2 linked regions of the Caenorhabditis elegans genome follow. The protein of the gene in region 1 interacts with the protein of each later gene in a biochemical or structural test. Each region holds a gene or a part of one and is shown on either strand. Other genes may lie near its edges.

Region 1 (8,492 bases):
CAAAATAATTAAATTAGGAATAATTTAACGAACAACACAACGGTAAAATATACAACTTTTTGTGAGAAAATTATGAAATTCCCCGGAAAAACTACGATATTTCTTTCAAAATTTCGCCTAAAAATCAGCAAAAACAGCCGAAAAATCGAAATTTCTGTCACGTCTAGTACAAAATTCTTCGTAAATCGACAAGCGGTATTATATTCCCAGTATCGCCAGATTACTGACCCTCCTTTCACTCGTCTCGCTTTTCTCCAAGTTCCGTCGGCTCTTTGTGTTGCTGTGATGAATGTTTCACCTTCAAAATAATTAAATTTATACAAAACTTCGCGGTGGAATTTTTTAATCTACGAACCATTTTCAGTCTCAACACGTAGATCACCACCTTCACTACACGATGGCTTCGTCTTCGCGGCGGCGGGCTTAGTAGACATTATACGGCCTGAAAATGGCTTATTCTAGATCTCAATTTAAAAAATTCAGCTAGTGAATAATACAAAAAGTTAAAATCGTAAAACTAAAATGTTATGATGATGGACTGAACCAGTATTTCATCCGAAACTCGAACGCGATTGGTAACAACGAATTAATTTATTCATGATGGTTCTGGTGGTTTAAAAGAGTTGTGATCAACTTTTTTTTGAAAACGGGCAGAACTGAGAGAGACGACACATCGGACCAACAACCTTAAGGATAAGTTCACGGATTAGAATACAACCATCACAATTTCATAGGGGACGGAATAAATAGAAATAGAATATCATAATTTAAACAAAAAAAGTGTATAGACATCAAGCAATAAATTACAATATAATTATTGATGCGGGGAGAAAGTGAGGGGGTGGGGGTAAGAAAATGGGGATAAAACTATCGAATTACATAAATCCAGGGGCATTATATCCTGGTTGTCCAGGTTGACCGTAAGCAGGCTGTCCGCCATAGCCACCAGTTGTTCCTGGATAAGTCATTTGTGGGGCAGGGGCACCATAGGTAAGCATAAGTTGTGGTTCCACTGAAAATATCAAATAAATTTAAATTCTAAATATTTGTTAAAACTCACTGGTCATTCCATTGTTTTGTTGCTGCTCAGCCTTCTCCTCTTTCCTCTCATGCTCAGAACGCTCCAACTTCTCAAGTCTCGTCTGATAATCTCTCATAACTTGGATCATGTAAGGCATGGCGTAATCCATAATCTTATGCTTCCAAGCGAGCTCCATGATGACATCGGGGTGAAGGAGATCATAACAATGGTAAAGGGAGGCGGCAAAACAATCATAAAGTTTCTCATCCAGGAAGAATGACAAGAGCTCTTCGGCGAGTTCTCCGTTTCTCGATTCTGCAGCGTATTCCATGGCATCCTTGTACAGCTTGTCTTTTTTGCAAAGCTCGATCGATTGCTTCCATCTGTTGTTTCCCTTGAACAAGTATGCGGAAATTCTTCTGAATTCCACAAGTGGGTGCTTCTCAAGTTGTTGGGCCAAAGTGATATTGTCAAAGTTGTCTTGAGCCTCAATAGAAGAACGAAGCCCGGCGTGATCCTCCTCATCAATGAGCAACTGATTCAAAGCCTCGTTGATAGCCTTGTTGTTCAAGTTTTGAACTTGTCTCAAGTAAGGCTTGACCAGTGGGATTTGCTTCACTGAAAATTATTGTTATTAAAAGTTTAAAAACTAAACGAAATTTAAACTTACGCTTATTGAAGAACAAAACTGTGCGCGAATGATCCAACCGAGGCGATAGCACAGTAAGAAGGTCATTCAGGAGAAGTGGCTTATAATCCAGGTAGAACTGCATTGCTTTGTAGTATAGCTCAACATTAGCGACTTTAGCGATGACTTCCTTGAAATGTTGCTCTCTCCAAGATTCAGTTGGATGCTGCATCATTGTCAGTGCGGCGTTATCATATTCTTCGTATTTATCGTACAAGAACACCAACTCGGACCAAAGATGAGCCTGCTCGGCAGCACGAAGAACTTTTGGAATATTAACACGGCTCCAGAACAATTCCAAATGCTCACGCATCTTCTCTGGCTTATACTTCGAGTACAAAATCGCGAGTTCGGTGAACATTCCCATGTGAGCCCGTTCAAGACCCAATGCAGCTTCGAGAAGAGCAATGAGCTCTTCGAAATGTCCACGATCTTGGTAGAAGTTGATCAATTCCTCAAGCTCATCAGCGTGGACAACGATGTGAAGTCCACACATCTGGGCAAGCCGGAACTCTCCATTCTCGACACAAGAGAAGCACACTTGTTTCCATGTCTTCGTGCTGTTGGCTTTGCGTGCAGCATCGACAGCTCCTTGATATTCTCCAAGACGAACAAGAGTAACGGAAAGTTTGGCGAAGTTGGAAACATTGTTGAAAAGGATCTTAGCGGAATCGAACATTCCATTGTCAAAGCAACGATCTCCAATTTGTCCGATTTGAGCGTGATTTGGTCCAGCGATAAACTCTTCAAGTTCAGTGAGACGACCAGTCTTGGCCAGAGCAAAAACGAGTTCCGTTTCGATGTATGACTCACGACTCTTCTTGCGAGCCATTTGAAGGTAACGAACAAGATCTTCCCAGTGCTCCGTTTGAGAACATTTGTTCACAACCTCCATGTACGCTCCTGGATCATCGGCCTTGATAAACGAATCGACAGCCTCCTTCACCAAATTTTGTTGGAGCTGTGCCTTGGCTAAAGATGCCCAGACATCTGACTGGTTGCACTTTTCAGCAAATTCGTAAGCACGATCCAAATTGTTCACGTTCTCGATAAGAACATTGATGGCACTTGAGTTCACATCGAATTTCTTGAAAATGGCAAACGCTTCTTCGTAGAGTTCAGAAGTTATAGCAATGTTAGCAATATCTGGAGCATCATAGTTGTCAAGCTTTTGAATGTACTCCATCACACGAGTTCTATCGGCCTGAAAGTGGATTGATCGAATATGTTTTCTAAAATAATTAACTTACTCTCATTGCAGTCAAAATGAGCAGATTTTGAAGATTACGGTGCTCCGAGAATGCAGAGTTATCGAGAACAATCTTTTCCAAAAGTTCAATAAGTTCGTTCGGCAAATCGGCAGCCATGAATGCCTTAACAGTCACAGAGATGTCTTCGGGATCTTGAGTTTCGGAAAGAGCAGTTTGAACCACTTGATCTATCAGCTGTCTACGATGAACATTCTCTTCGTTGAGAACTTGCTCCCACAGAGTGAAGTCTCTTCTCTTCACCAAATATCTTGCAAGATTCTTGAATAGTGAATTCTCGTTGCACACGTTGATCAATTCAGCGTCGCACTGTCCGCGTTCGTATGACAAGAAGGCGTAGTGAGGATCACGCTTTTCGCAGTACTTTCCAACAACTTTGCTATCGTAGTAGGGATTTTCCTTCAAGAATCGTTCGGGATTGTTGTTAGAATCTATGTAAATCTTGGCCATCGCATTGTGGGTAGCAGCATCAGTCGCTCCCTCCTGGATTTTCGATTCAAGCCAGTGATTCAAAAGCTTCAAACGATTGCGTTTCTCAACTTCCTCGACAAGCTCATCAATGTCAAACTTTCCACGAGTGTTAATGATCAATTGTTTGATAGCATCTTCACTACAATCAACATCTAGAAGAGCACCAACAACGATCGGAAGACGGGCGGCATTAACCTTTTGAACAAAGACTTCAATGTACTTCTGGAGCTGGTTTCTGTACAGGTAAAGAACAAGATCATGAACCATGTTATGACGATCGCAGACAATGATCAAAGGAAGTTGATCGTTGAGCTTGGCTTCCTTAAGGAAATTCTTGACACGTTCGGCATCATAACATTGCGACTCTCTACAGATACGCTCAACCTCTTTAATTTGCCCTGTGCGCGTGGCAGCTTGAATGTACTTGAAGTGAACTTCTGGGTCCTGGCTGAAGTTGACAATCGAACCAAGGAAGTAGAAAAGACCTTCGTATGACTTGTGATTTTCGAACATCTCAATCAGCTTGTCAGCTCCGAGCTGTTCATGATACTTGGATGCAATCTGCACAACGACTTGGAGGTTCTGTCGGATATTCTGAGTGAGCATGGCTTTCAAGCATTCGACCGAATCTTCAACAGAAAGGCTTCCGAAATATCCAACGAGCCACTGAAAATAAATTAGCATTTATTTTAGAAATCTAATTAGAAACTCACATCAGGCTTGAGAAGATGGGTGTGAACAACAGTTCGCTTAATGTCGTAGAGGTCAGTGAAGTGTTCGAGAGCTCTTTGAAGAAGTCCAGCCTTTTCGCAGAGTTGTCCGATAGCGGCACGATCGTAGTGAGAGAACATCTTGTTGGCTAGAATAGCATCGGCAACAGCTGGGGCAGCGAGCAGATTCATTTCAAGAAGTCTCGTTTGCAGATGTCCTTCCTCCGGCTTATCACCCTTCAAAACTTCGAGAAGGAATGAAGTGCATGGTTGAACAGCTTGAACCTCCATGAAACAGTCAATGATCTGAAAAGGTTTAAATTAGCCAAATCCTTATTCTCATTCGTTACCTGTGAAAGATCAGCAAGTGGTTCTCCGTTTTCGCTCTCAGAGACAAGAAGTTGAGCGAATTTTGCTCCATGATCAGGATTCGAATTACGGAGAATTTGACGAAGTTGGAACAAATAGTCTGGTTGGAATCCGACACGCTTGGCATACATTACGATCTTGTCGAATTGTCCAGTTTCAGCAAAAGATTGAACAACCTTGTGCGGGACATTTCCACGCAAATAGACTGAAAGAGCAGTATTCACATCGTGCGGCTTAATGAGATCTCCCAATTCTTCACAACACTCCAACTTCTGATCATTGAGCCACTTCGTTATCAACTCCTTTCTTCCTTGTGCCAAGACCGGACGACACAGCTCGAGTGTTTCGTATTTATTCAACTTTCCTTGATCGAGAAGAATTCCGAAATATTGAAGAAGTGGAGATGGTCCTGGACCAGTAGACGGGCACTGCTGGAACTTTTGAATGGTGGCTGGTGTTCTCAAAATTCCTTGTGGAGCCGATGCAGCAACCTTGGCTGATTCTCCAAACTGTCCGTTGCTGAACAACAAGTTGAATTTGCGAACGAACAACTCTTCAGCTCCAGGCAGATCACAACGCACGGCCAACTTCAAAGCCAAATCTGGATTTTGCAGCTGGTTCGTAACGAACGGAACCAAGTTAGCTTCATCGATAGAGACGGAAAGAACTTGTCCCTTTCTGTTAATTCCCATTATTCCTCCTGTAGCTGTGTATTCACAGGTCACAAATACGGTATCAGTCGAAATTCGATTCGAATAAATCCGTGTTCCAGACTCGACATCATAAAGATGAACATATCCTTGCTTTGTTACCAGGTAAATAATTCCTTGCTTCGCAGATACCTGAAAACCAACAATTTATTTTATAAACAACACCATTCAGCTTTTGAAATTATAAACAATCAATCAGAAAGATATCAAATTTTGTTTATACGACTATAAGCAACATACCTGCATAGACACTGGAAAATCGCCAGCTGTGTCAGCGGTATATGGAACATCAACATTCTTCTTTTGGAAAGGAGTGTTTCCAGCAGCTGGGGTTCCTACTTCAATAACGTGCAATTTTCCTCCATTATCGGTTTTGACGGAAAAACAGAATAAGTTAGATGGGTTTTGGTTTCCATCGACCTAAAACATTATTAATATGACAAATCCATCATCGAATTAGTCCTACCTTGAATCGAACGAAGCAAGCGGCATGGCCTTCGATTGGCTGCGATACTTTTCTCTCGGTACTGTACAATTGCATACTTCCAACGACACGGGAGTCTTTTGCGGAAATTCCAATAAGAACGAGCCACTTGTTTTCGGCATCAGCGCGATAATTTATGATTTGAGTTCCGGCCAACGACTGATGTCTATCGAACATCTTGACTGGAGCTGCATCACCCTCGATCGACCAATGATAGACGGCTGTGTCGGAAACGAGTGCAATCGTTTTCTCACTGATCCACTTCCAATAAACTACATCTTCTACATTCTGATGAGCTTTCACTTTTGCTTTCAACTCAATATTGAAAATTTGAAGTGTCTTGCCAGCTGAAAAAAGGTATAAATAAGCTTCAGAGTCAAATGGTACTGAAAACTAACATTTCAAAGCAAGAATTTTGGCAGTTGGGTGCATGATTACTGAGTCAGCAGAAATTGGACGACGAGTTGGATTCGCTGTGTCGGCCAAATCAATAATCACAACCTGTTGTTGATCACCAATCTGGAAATTATCCGTTTAGAACAGTTAATTGCGATTATTTGACCTACCATCTCACGAACAACAATGTTCTTATCAGATTCCATTGTGACATTGGAGAATGTAATGTTGGGCACCCGAATTCCAGCATTCGGAAGCTGCAGGTGCTCGTGAAATTTGATTGGGAGCGCCATCTTTGAAAACTGTGTGTAGAATGGAAAAACTTCTTACAATAAATTATATACCTGCAAATGGAGATGTTTGAAAAAAAAAGAAAAGAGAACACGATAAAAATAAAAAGATGAGTCACGTAAAATTTATCACAAAAGTGAGACATTTCCGGGAAATAGAAGTGAATATCGGTAGATTGAAGGAATAAATGGAAAAATATACAGCTTTAAAGCTAGCTTTGGCCGCTGTTATTACTGTGAATGATTTGAAATGAAGGAAAAATTGTAATTCCAAAAGTTAGAACTCTTTGCTGAGTAAAGAAAAATTTTTGAGGACTCATAGCGCACCTAAAAAGAGGGAAAACGTAAAAATAAAACAATTGAACGGAAATGTCTTATCAAGAGAGAGCTTTGTCAAACATGCAGAAGCCAGTTGATCGAGAGAAATGATTCCTGTTTGCCAAGCTTGAACAAGTCGCCCTGTCATCACAGGGCACGCGACGCGACGCGCCCCGCTTCTCGGTAGAGCGCGCTTTTCCGCCGAATTTCTTCTGGGAATTTTCTTCGCTTTGGGCGGAGTTTTTAATTTCACAAGGAAAAATTTATGTTTGTACGGCCGAAGGATTGACAAAAGAAAAGCGTTCGTATGAAATGAATGAGTCATCAGCAATTACGACAGTGAATTACGTGTTTGGATTAAGAAATGATTGCCGTGAAATATTGAAAAGAAAAAAAAAACAAATTTGATCTGCGGATAAACTTTGTTTTCTCAATTTCAATCAGTAGATCACTCATACACGGAAATTTTTCGAGTTTTACACAAAAAATACAGTACGGGGTCTCGACACGACCAATTTTCTTTGATTTAAAAGTGTGCGCGCCTTTAAGGAGTACTGTAGTTTGGAACACTTTTTTTGAACATTTCATTTTTTGTTCTGTTTTACCGAAATTCAAGGAAAAACTGAGATAAAACACGTTGAGAATCCAACAACGTTGCGCAAAAAAAAACCGATTTTTTTGGTCCAAAATACAACGAAAAACTGTTTTCAAAATTGAATTGTATTATAATTTTTTGGCATTTTTGAATAAAAATGTTATGTATTGTTTTCTGTTCAAATTCTCTTGTATTAGCCCTGCTGGAAGTTACAGTACTCCACGGACCGAAGATCACACTTTTTGCATTTAAGAGAATCTTTCGTGTCGAGACCCGGTACCGGTTTTTTTATGCAATTGCCACAGAAATTCGCAAATGTGTAATAGTTCCGCTTTAATGGAAAATGAAATACAAAGTATGTCGTGATGGGTATTGCGAAATCGCACATTTTATTTCGAAATCTCAAGTTAAGTAAATATAAAATCAAAAACAATTAATAAGATGTACTCTTATCCTGCAAACTCTTTTTCGCCTCGAAATGTGTGATTGCATCCGACTTCACATTATCATAGAAGCATCGTTTCATGTCCTCGAACCTGCAACCAATTTAATTCAACATGACTTTTGCCTCGAGAATTGGAAGATAAAAAGATATGGAAACCTGTCTAGGCAAGGCGCATAGCTGTAATCAATTGGAGTGTAGAGATCGGGTGTTTGATCGCAGAAGGTTAGACATTTACTTCCAGCCGTCGTTGCATCCACCTGACTTTGTGAGCAACACTGAAACTAGTAAGAAGTTATTGAGCAGATTTCAACGACCTTTTACCTGGCTATGATCTTTTCCTTGAGCCGCACAAAATTGCATTTCTGGCAGGAATTCAATCGGGCATTCACTTGAACCAAAGAACATTGATTCCAGCTATACAATTTTTGAAATTCAATTTCACAATATAAACTTGACCTATTTAAACCTACCACTCCTTTGTTATAAACATTAAAATGGCATTTCTGAACACATGCGGGAGGCAACTGTCGTTCCTCACAGCATACATGGAACAAGTGGTTAGGATTCTGAAAATTGATATGAAATATATTTAAAAGTTTGACTTTTTTACAGTAAAATCCCCATGATCTACCAAATGTACAGAAACAAACTTACTGTCAACAACTGAATGCTCTTTTCAGTGATTGGAGTTTTCGTATCATTCCAGACTTTGAGTCCAAAAATATTT
Region 2 (5,575 bases), on another chromosome or scaffold:
CGGCGCAGTGAAACCAGGGGTGGGCGGCAATTGCCATTCGGCAATTTTTATCTTGTCGACAATCGGCAAATCGGCAAAATTCAATTCCGACAATTTGCCGGTTTGCCGGAATGTTTAGAGGGATTTTATAAGACGGAAACACTTAAAGCTGTGCCTTTTTGAATTTTTTTTTCGTTATTTTAAAGGTATTTTTATAGAATTTGCCTCATTTTCCAAAATTGATGTAGGAGCATTTATAGGATTCGTACAACTTTCAAAACAAAAAAGGAAAATCACAATTTGCCAACAATTTTCGTCAATTCCGATTTTCCGGCAAATTGGCCATTTGCAGATTTGCAGGAAATTTTTCATTCCGTCAATTGGTCGATTTGCCGGAAAAATCGTTTGCTACCCACCATGATTGGTGCCGTATGTAAAAATTACGGTAAGGGAATTACCAAAATCTCTTTTAAAAAAATGTCAAAAACAGAAGAAAAGCCTTCGAGTAGAGGATATGACACCAAATAGAGCTATTGAAAGAAGAAATGTGCCGGAAAATCCACATAAACCTGTGAACCCTCTAAGCTATCCATAATGGGGTTCTGGGTACAACAATAAGCCGTCGTGGTCTCTTTCTCAGTCGAATGCTTTCTCATTTAGTTATTGTTCAGTCATATTCTTTCATCCAAATGAGGCGGCGGGAAAACGGACAGACGAAGAATCTCATTTCGAATAGGTAAACAGACATAGTACACGGCACGGGGAGAGTAGTAGGTCAGTCGGATGTGAAAGGTTTCCCGTTACTAGGGAAGATGGCCGGTTGGCTACTACTGCAGGTGTTGTATTGGACCGGTTTTCGGATTAATCATTATTAATTGAGGTAAATGTGCTGGTTTTTCACTGAAAAACAGGTGGGTAGTATTGGTATTGAACCGGAAAAACTAAAAACCACACATGCTTTTGGTTGAATTCAAGAAAACTTTAGGTCTTGAAGAAAGCAAAACAGCAAGCTCAAACAAAAAGAGCAATGACGAAAACACGTAGAGACAGCGGCGGGCTTTCTGGAAAAAGTAAGACCCTGGGTATTCAAGTGGACCCCGTTCACTTTGCCATTGAAGGAAAATATCAATTTTTGCACTAATTTGAATGCAAAATGTATTGTTTAAAACATGTGTGGACGGCAATTGCCATTCGGCAATTTTTTGTTGACAAATTTGGCAATTTGTCGGTTTGCCGGAAATTTTCAATTCCGGCAAATTGCCGATTTGCCAAAAGTTTTCAATTCCGGAACTTCGCCGATTTGACAGAAGTTTCAATTCCGGCAATTTGCCGATTTACCGGACAATATCGTTTGCCGCCCACCCCTGGTTTAAACCATTTCTCTAAAACATTCCTAGTGAAAGAATTCATGAACAATAACTTTGGTTTCTAGAAAGATTACGTTTAACATAACGCCATAGACGTTTCTAGAACTTTTAGCAAAATTCTGCAGAAATTTGTCACATTTTGCAATTTCCATGTCCCCAGGGGGCCAACCTACCACATCGGACTTCTTTCCCAAGAAAATAACCACATCGTCAACTGTTTCAGTGGATTCCATATTGAAAACGAGTTGTCCTTGTCGATTTCGGCAGGAGTTTGCTGAGAATTCCACAACTTTCAGTTGATTTATACCTTGCTGAATTGCAACGTAGAGATCTCCGTCGATTAGGAGAGTTCCGGGTTCCAGGATTATTTGATTTAATATTGCGCCGGATTGTAGTTGCTGAAAATTATGATTTTTATACTAAATTTTTTTCGAGTTTCGCTGAAATTTGAAAAATGTGTATATGATACTTTTTTTTCTTTAAAAGTTTGTATTCTTTAATTAAAGGGGAGTAGAGTTTTTGGGTATTTTGCTTTTTTCAAAATTTTTTTATGGCTGGTCAACATTTCGAAAAAAAAATGCAAATTTTGCTAAAATCTGAAATCAAAATTAGACTCTTTTTTTCTTTTGTTATAATTTTTTGAAAATTTTTGCTTTTTTCTCCAACATAGACTGACTACGCTAAATATTTGATAATTTCCATCTAATTTTTGGCCATTTTAATCTCAGTTTTTACTTAAAATGTGCGAATTAGCTATTGTTATTCCGAATTTTTCAAAATTCCTACTTAAAGGCGAACGGATGAGTTCGGATGAGTCTCGCCGCGAAAAGCACAATTTTAACAGCTTTTCTTGTTTTTTTTTTGAGTGTTATAAATGTCTTTTTTCGATTTGGTTCAAAATCAAGAATTTTAGTCGAATACAAAAAAATTCCGATATTTTCTGTGAAACATACAATTTTTTGGTAATTTTAAATTTTTTGGTAAAATCCGTTTTTTGATAAAATCCGTTTTTTGATAATTTTTATTGAAAAAGCTATTTATTTCGGTTTTTTTCCTCAGTTTTTGCTTAAAATGTGTGCTTTTCTCTGAATTGAAAATCTCCCATTCTTTTTTTGATTTCCTTTTTTAAAAATAACAATTACCTGCCGCCGTGCGTGATATTTACAGACGTGTTTAGTTTGTTCCAAAAATAAATGATATGTAACTGGAAGGCGATCAAATCGATTCGGAAGTGAATCCGACATAAACTCGGAGACTCTTGAGATGGTACGAGAAGCGATAAGGCAGAAGGCAGCGGTTATTTGAACGTTTTCTGAAAAAAATTGAGCTTTAAATATAGAATTCTAATTTAAAAAATCAAAAATAGTACCATCATTTCCAAAAATCACAATTGCCGCGTCATTAGTTAGCAAGCAATACTCGTTGAGAATCTGAAATTTATTGAAAATTATTTTAAATATATATTTTTAATAGAGAAATTACCGGTACTAATGCCTGAATTGTTGGATATTTCGGAAGTCCACCTTTTGCCGCACTTCCCAACGGAACATGAACTGATTTTGCATAGCCATCCAGCTTCAGTGGTCTGAATTTATTAGAAATTATTTTTTGTGAACATTTTCGAGTTTTCTAAACTTACTCAGCATGAACATTAACCACTACATACGGTTGACAATCAATCATTTCTCGAACGACGGCCGTTTCTGCTTTGAGCAGTCCTTCTTTCGATTTGTGCAACGTGTCGGCGAGCACAATCCGATTAGTGAGCCACGTGAGGCGGATATCGTCATCGCGGTGCTCGGGCTGAATTTAAAACAATTATTGCTTTAAAAAAATGTAAACTTTGCTAAAAATTGACCAAATTTCAGCCGAAAACCTCACCGGCGTCGTGGCTCCTTGACTTTTGTGCTCTTTCACCAGAGACTTCCCGAAATTCTTCAAATTTTTCGCCAAACTCGATCCTTGACCCTTCAGCGACTCCATTAGACCGAACGCAGACGTCGTAGCTTGCTGAAAGATAAAAATATCGAATTTTATAGTTTTATAAGCAAAATTTCGCAACCTGGGTCCATTTCTTCTGTGCTGGAGGTTCTTCGTCAAATACCATCGGATTTATACTGGAAATTACTAAAAAATACCATTATAATAGCTGTAAAAACTACTGAAAATCAATGAAAAATAGCTAAAATTATCTGAAAACGTGTTGTGAAAATAAACGGGTGCAAGTGCGCTTCACGGACACTTGCTTATAGAGCGTGCGAAAAGAGAGACGGCAGAGAAACGAAAAGCCCTTTCGCCAGTTTTGTGAGGAAATTAATTATTTTGCTGAAATTTCAAAAATAAACTAGGCTGAAAATTTTGGAAATAGAGAAGAAAAGTGCGGAAAATAGAGATAAAATCGGTGAGGTTGCGTAACCATCCGCCAATAAAAGCGAAAAGCATCGGAAGCATGCATTCCATGGAAAACCGGTTTTTTCGGCCGAAAATGTGATTCACACAAACTTTATAAGGAGAAAATAATGTATAAAAACTTCTGAAAGTGATATTAATTCAAAAATTTACATTCTATCAGTGAAAAATTGTGGGAAAGTTGCCACCGGAAAGCGTCTCATTTCTGCGGAATTTTTCACATTTCACAATATTTTTTTTCCTCGATTTGTTAAAATTTAATGAGCATTATTTTTGTGTCTAAGTTTGTCAAAAAAGCCAATTTTTCATTCGAAATACAATGAGAAAGCGATGAAAATTCACAAATTCCGCAACAAGAAAAATTCGAAGTTACAGTACTCTTTAAAGGCGCACATCTTTTCGCATTTAACTAAAACTTGTCATGTCGAGACCAGGTTGTGCTATTCTGGCGCGAAAATTGTGAATCTTTGCGTCTCGATAATATAAAATTGTTTGGAAGCTCGTGACTGCGTCAAACAGTGAACATTATTATGTAACGTCACACTCTCTGTAATATTTCGTGAAAAATCCGAATAAATTGTTTGATTGAACCTAAAAACATCGGTATTCATACATATTTCTTTCAGAAAGTACGGTTCCCTCAGTTTTGGGCTGAGTTATTTTTTACAGTTTTACAAGTATTTTTACATGCTCCATTCATATTTCCTTGGTCCCTAAAAAACCTTCGATGCTTTTCAGAACTCTTACCACGATGGCAACTACTTTTCTGAGCACTCTGACTCCCACTGGTATGCCTCTAACCTAATCCGTGTCAAAGGGTGAGCAAGAGAGAGTCCATGTGATATGAAGAGAGTGTGCCAGACAGTGCTGTGCAAATAAACTGCACAGTCATAGTCTTAACAATGGTCTGCGCTGTCAATTCTCCACCATTCCATTATTTTTGAAAATGCCAAGTCAGACACAGAAGCATCATTACAATAAAGAAGTGCAGAAATTTCAATGTTTAGTTCGGAATAACAACAACGCTAAAATAAATTACCTATCTGAAATCTGAAAGAAATACCTGAAACATGCTGAAATATGTTCCCGAATCTCTTCACCTGCTCTCAGCCTAAGTTAACATGAAAGAGCCGCAAAAGTTACTCAAGTGGCCATTGGATTCATGACGTAATTTTCTGGTCGGACCAGCCGGGAGATTATGAGTCCTGTGCATAACTTTCGGCGAATGGAAATGAGGTGATGATTATGTAATGAAGATTATGGTTTTGGTTTCCAGGATCCAGAATGAATTAAGAAAGATTATTATCCACGTGCATGTTGTAATTGATCCTTCGAGATTTGAAAATGTATTTTTATGTTCAGACTATGATTGGCTATCAAAACATTTTATATTTCTCTTGCAACTCTATTAGTCTATTATAACAGTGTATATCGATGTTAATTTGAAAAGTGAAAACAACAAAAAGAGAAATACAAAATTTTCTCAATTGATAAATGTGCTAAAGTTGAATACATTGTTTTTTGCCAGACCAACAGGGGATATACAATTATTGTTGTGTGGTAGGAGTGATTATGTAACCATGTAGAAAAAACTCAACTGTCTGAAGTGCATGAAGCTCAATCATAAAGGGTGTTTTAGCCGAATTTGGCGATTTATAACAAAGTCGGGTAAAATCGATTATATACCGCTGGCAGTGAAGTCATTTTTCAGTGAACCTAAATGACAATTAAAAGTTCTAAAACCGCAGAGATTTACAGATTTACTATATTTTTAAAAATCTCTCAACCCCTGTTTCACTCCAGACAGCCCATCTTCCGGC

The links.
Region 2: the proteins of chc-1 (region 1) and dnj-25 form a complex in vitro, tested with the Caenorhabditis elegans proteins (one study listed by BioGRID).

What each region holds. Positions count from the first base shown.
Region 1 is NC_003281.10:10,201,790-10,210,281, reverse strand, and holds chc-1 (putative clathrin heavy chain 1), read right to left. Parts: upstream 6,462-8,492; 5' UTR 6,411-6,461; coding exon 6,288-6,410; intron 6,241-6,287; coding exon 6,120-6,240; intron 6,069-6,119; coding exon 5,704-6,068; intron 5,658-5,703; coding exon 5,478-5,657; intron 5,370-5,477; coding exon 4,509-5,369; intron 4,465-4,508; coding exon 4,162-4,464; intron 4,115-4,161; coding exon 2,960-4,114; intron 2,914-2,959; coding exon 1,692-2,913; intron 1,640-1,691; coding exon 1,061-1,639; intron 1,013-1,060; coding exon 876-1,012; 3' UTR 578-875; downstream 1-577. Other genes in the region: T20G5.9 (Partner of Y14 and mago), read right to left, coding at 229-298, 356-434; dbd-12 (DB domain-containing protein), read right to left, coding at 7,754-7,856, 7,922-8,040, 8,087-8,179, 8,236-8,331, 8,420-8,492. UniProt on the Caenorhabditis elegans protein: Clathrin is the major protein of the polyhedral coat of coated pits and vesicles. May play a role in yolk protein clatherin-mediated endocytosis by oocytes during oogenesis.
Region 2 is NC_003283.11:20,740,867-20,746,441, forward strand, and holds the start of dnj-25 (J domain-containing protein), read right to left. Parts: upstream 3,481-5,575; 5' UTR 3,454-3,480; coding exon 3,409-3,453; intron 3,357-3,408; coding exon 3,228-3,356; intron 3,150-3,227; coding exon 2,986-3,149; intron 2,932-2,985; coding exon 2,829-2,931; intron 2,777-2,828; coding exon 2,716-2,776; intron 2,659-2,715; coding exon 2,489-2,658; intron 1,745-2,488; coding exon 1,520-1,744; intron 1-1,519.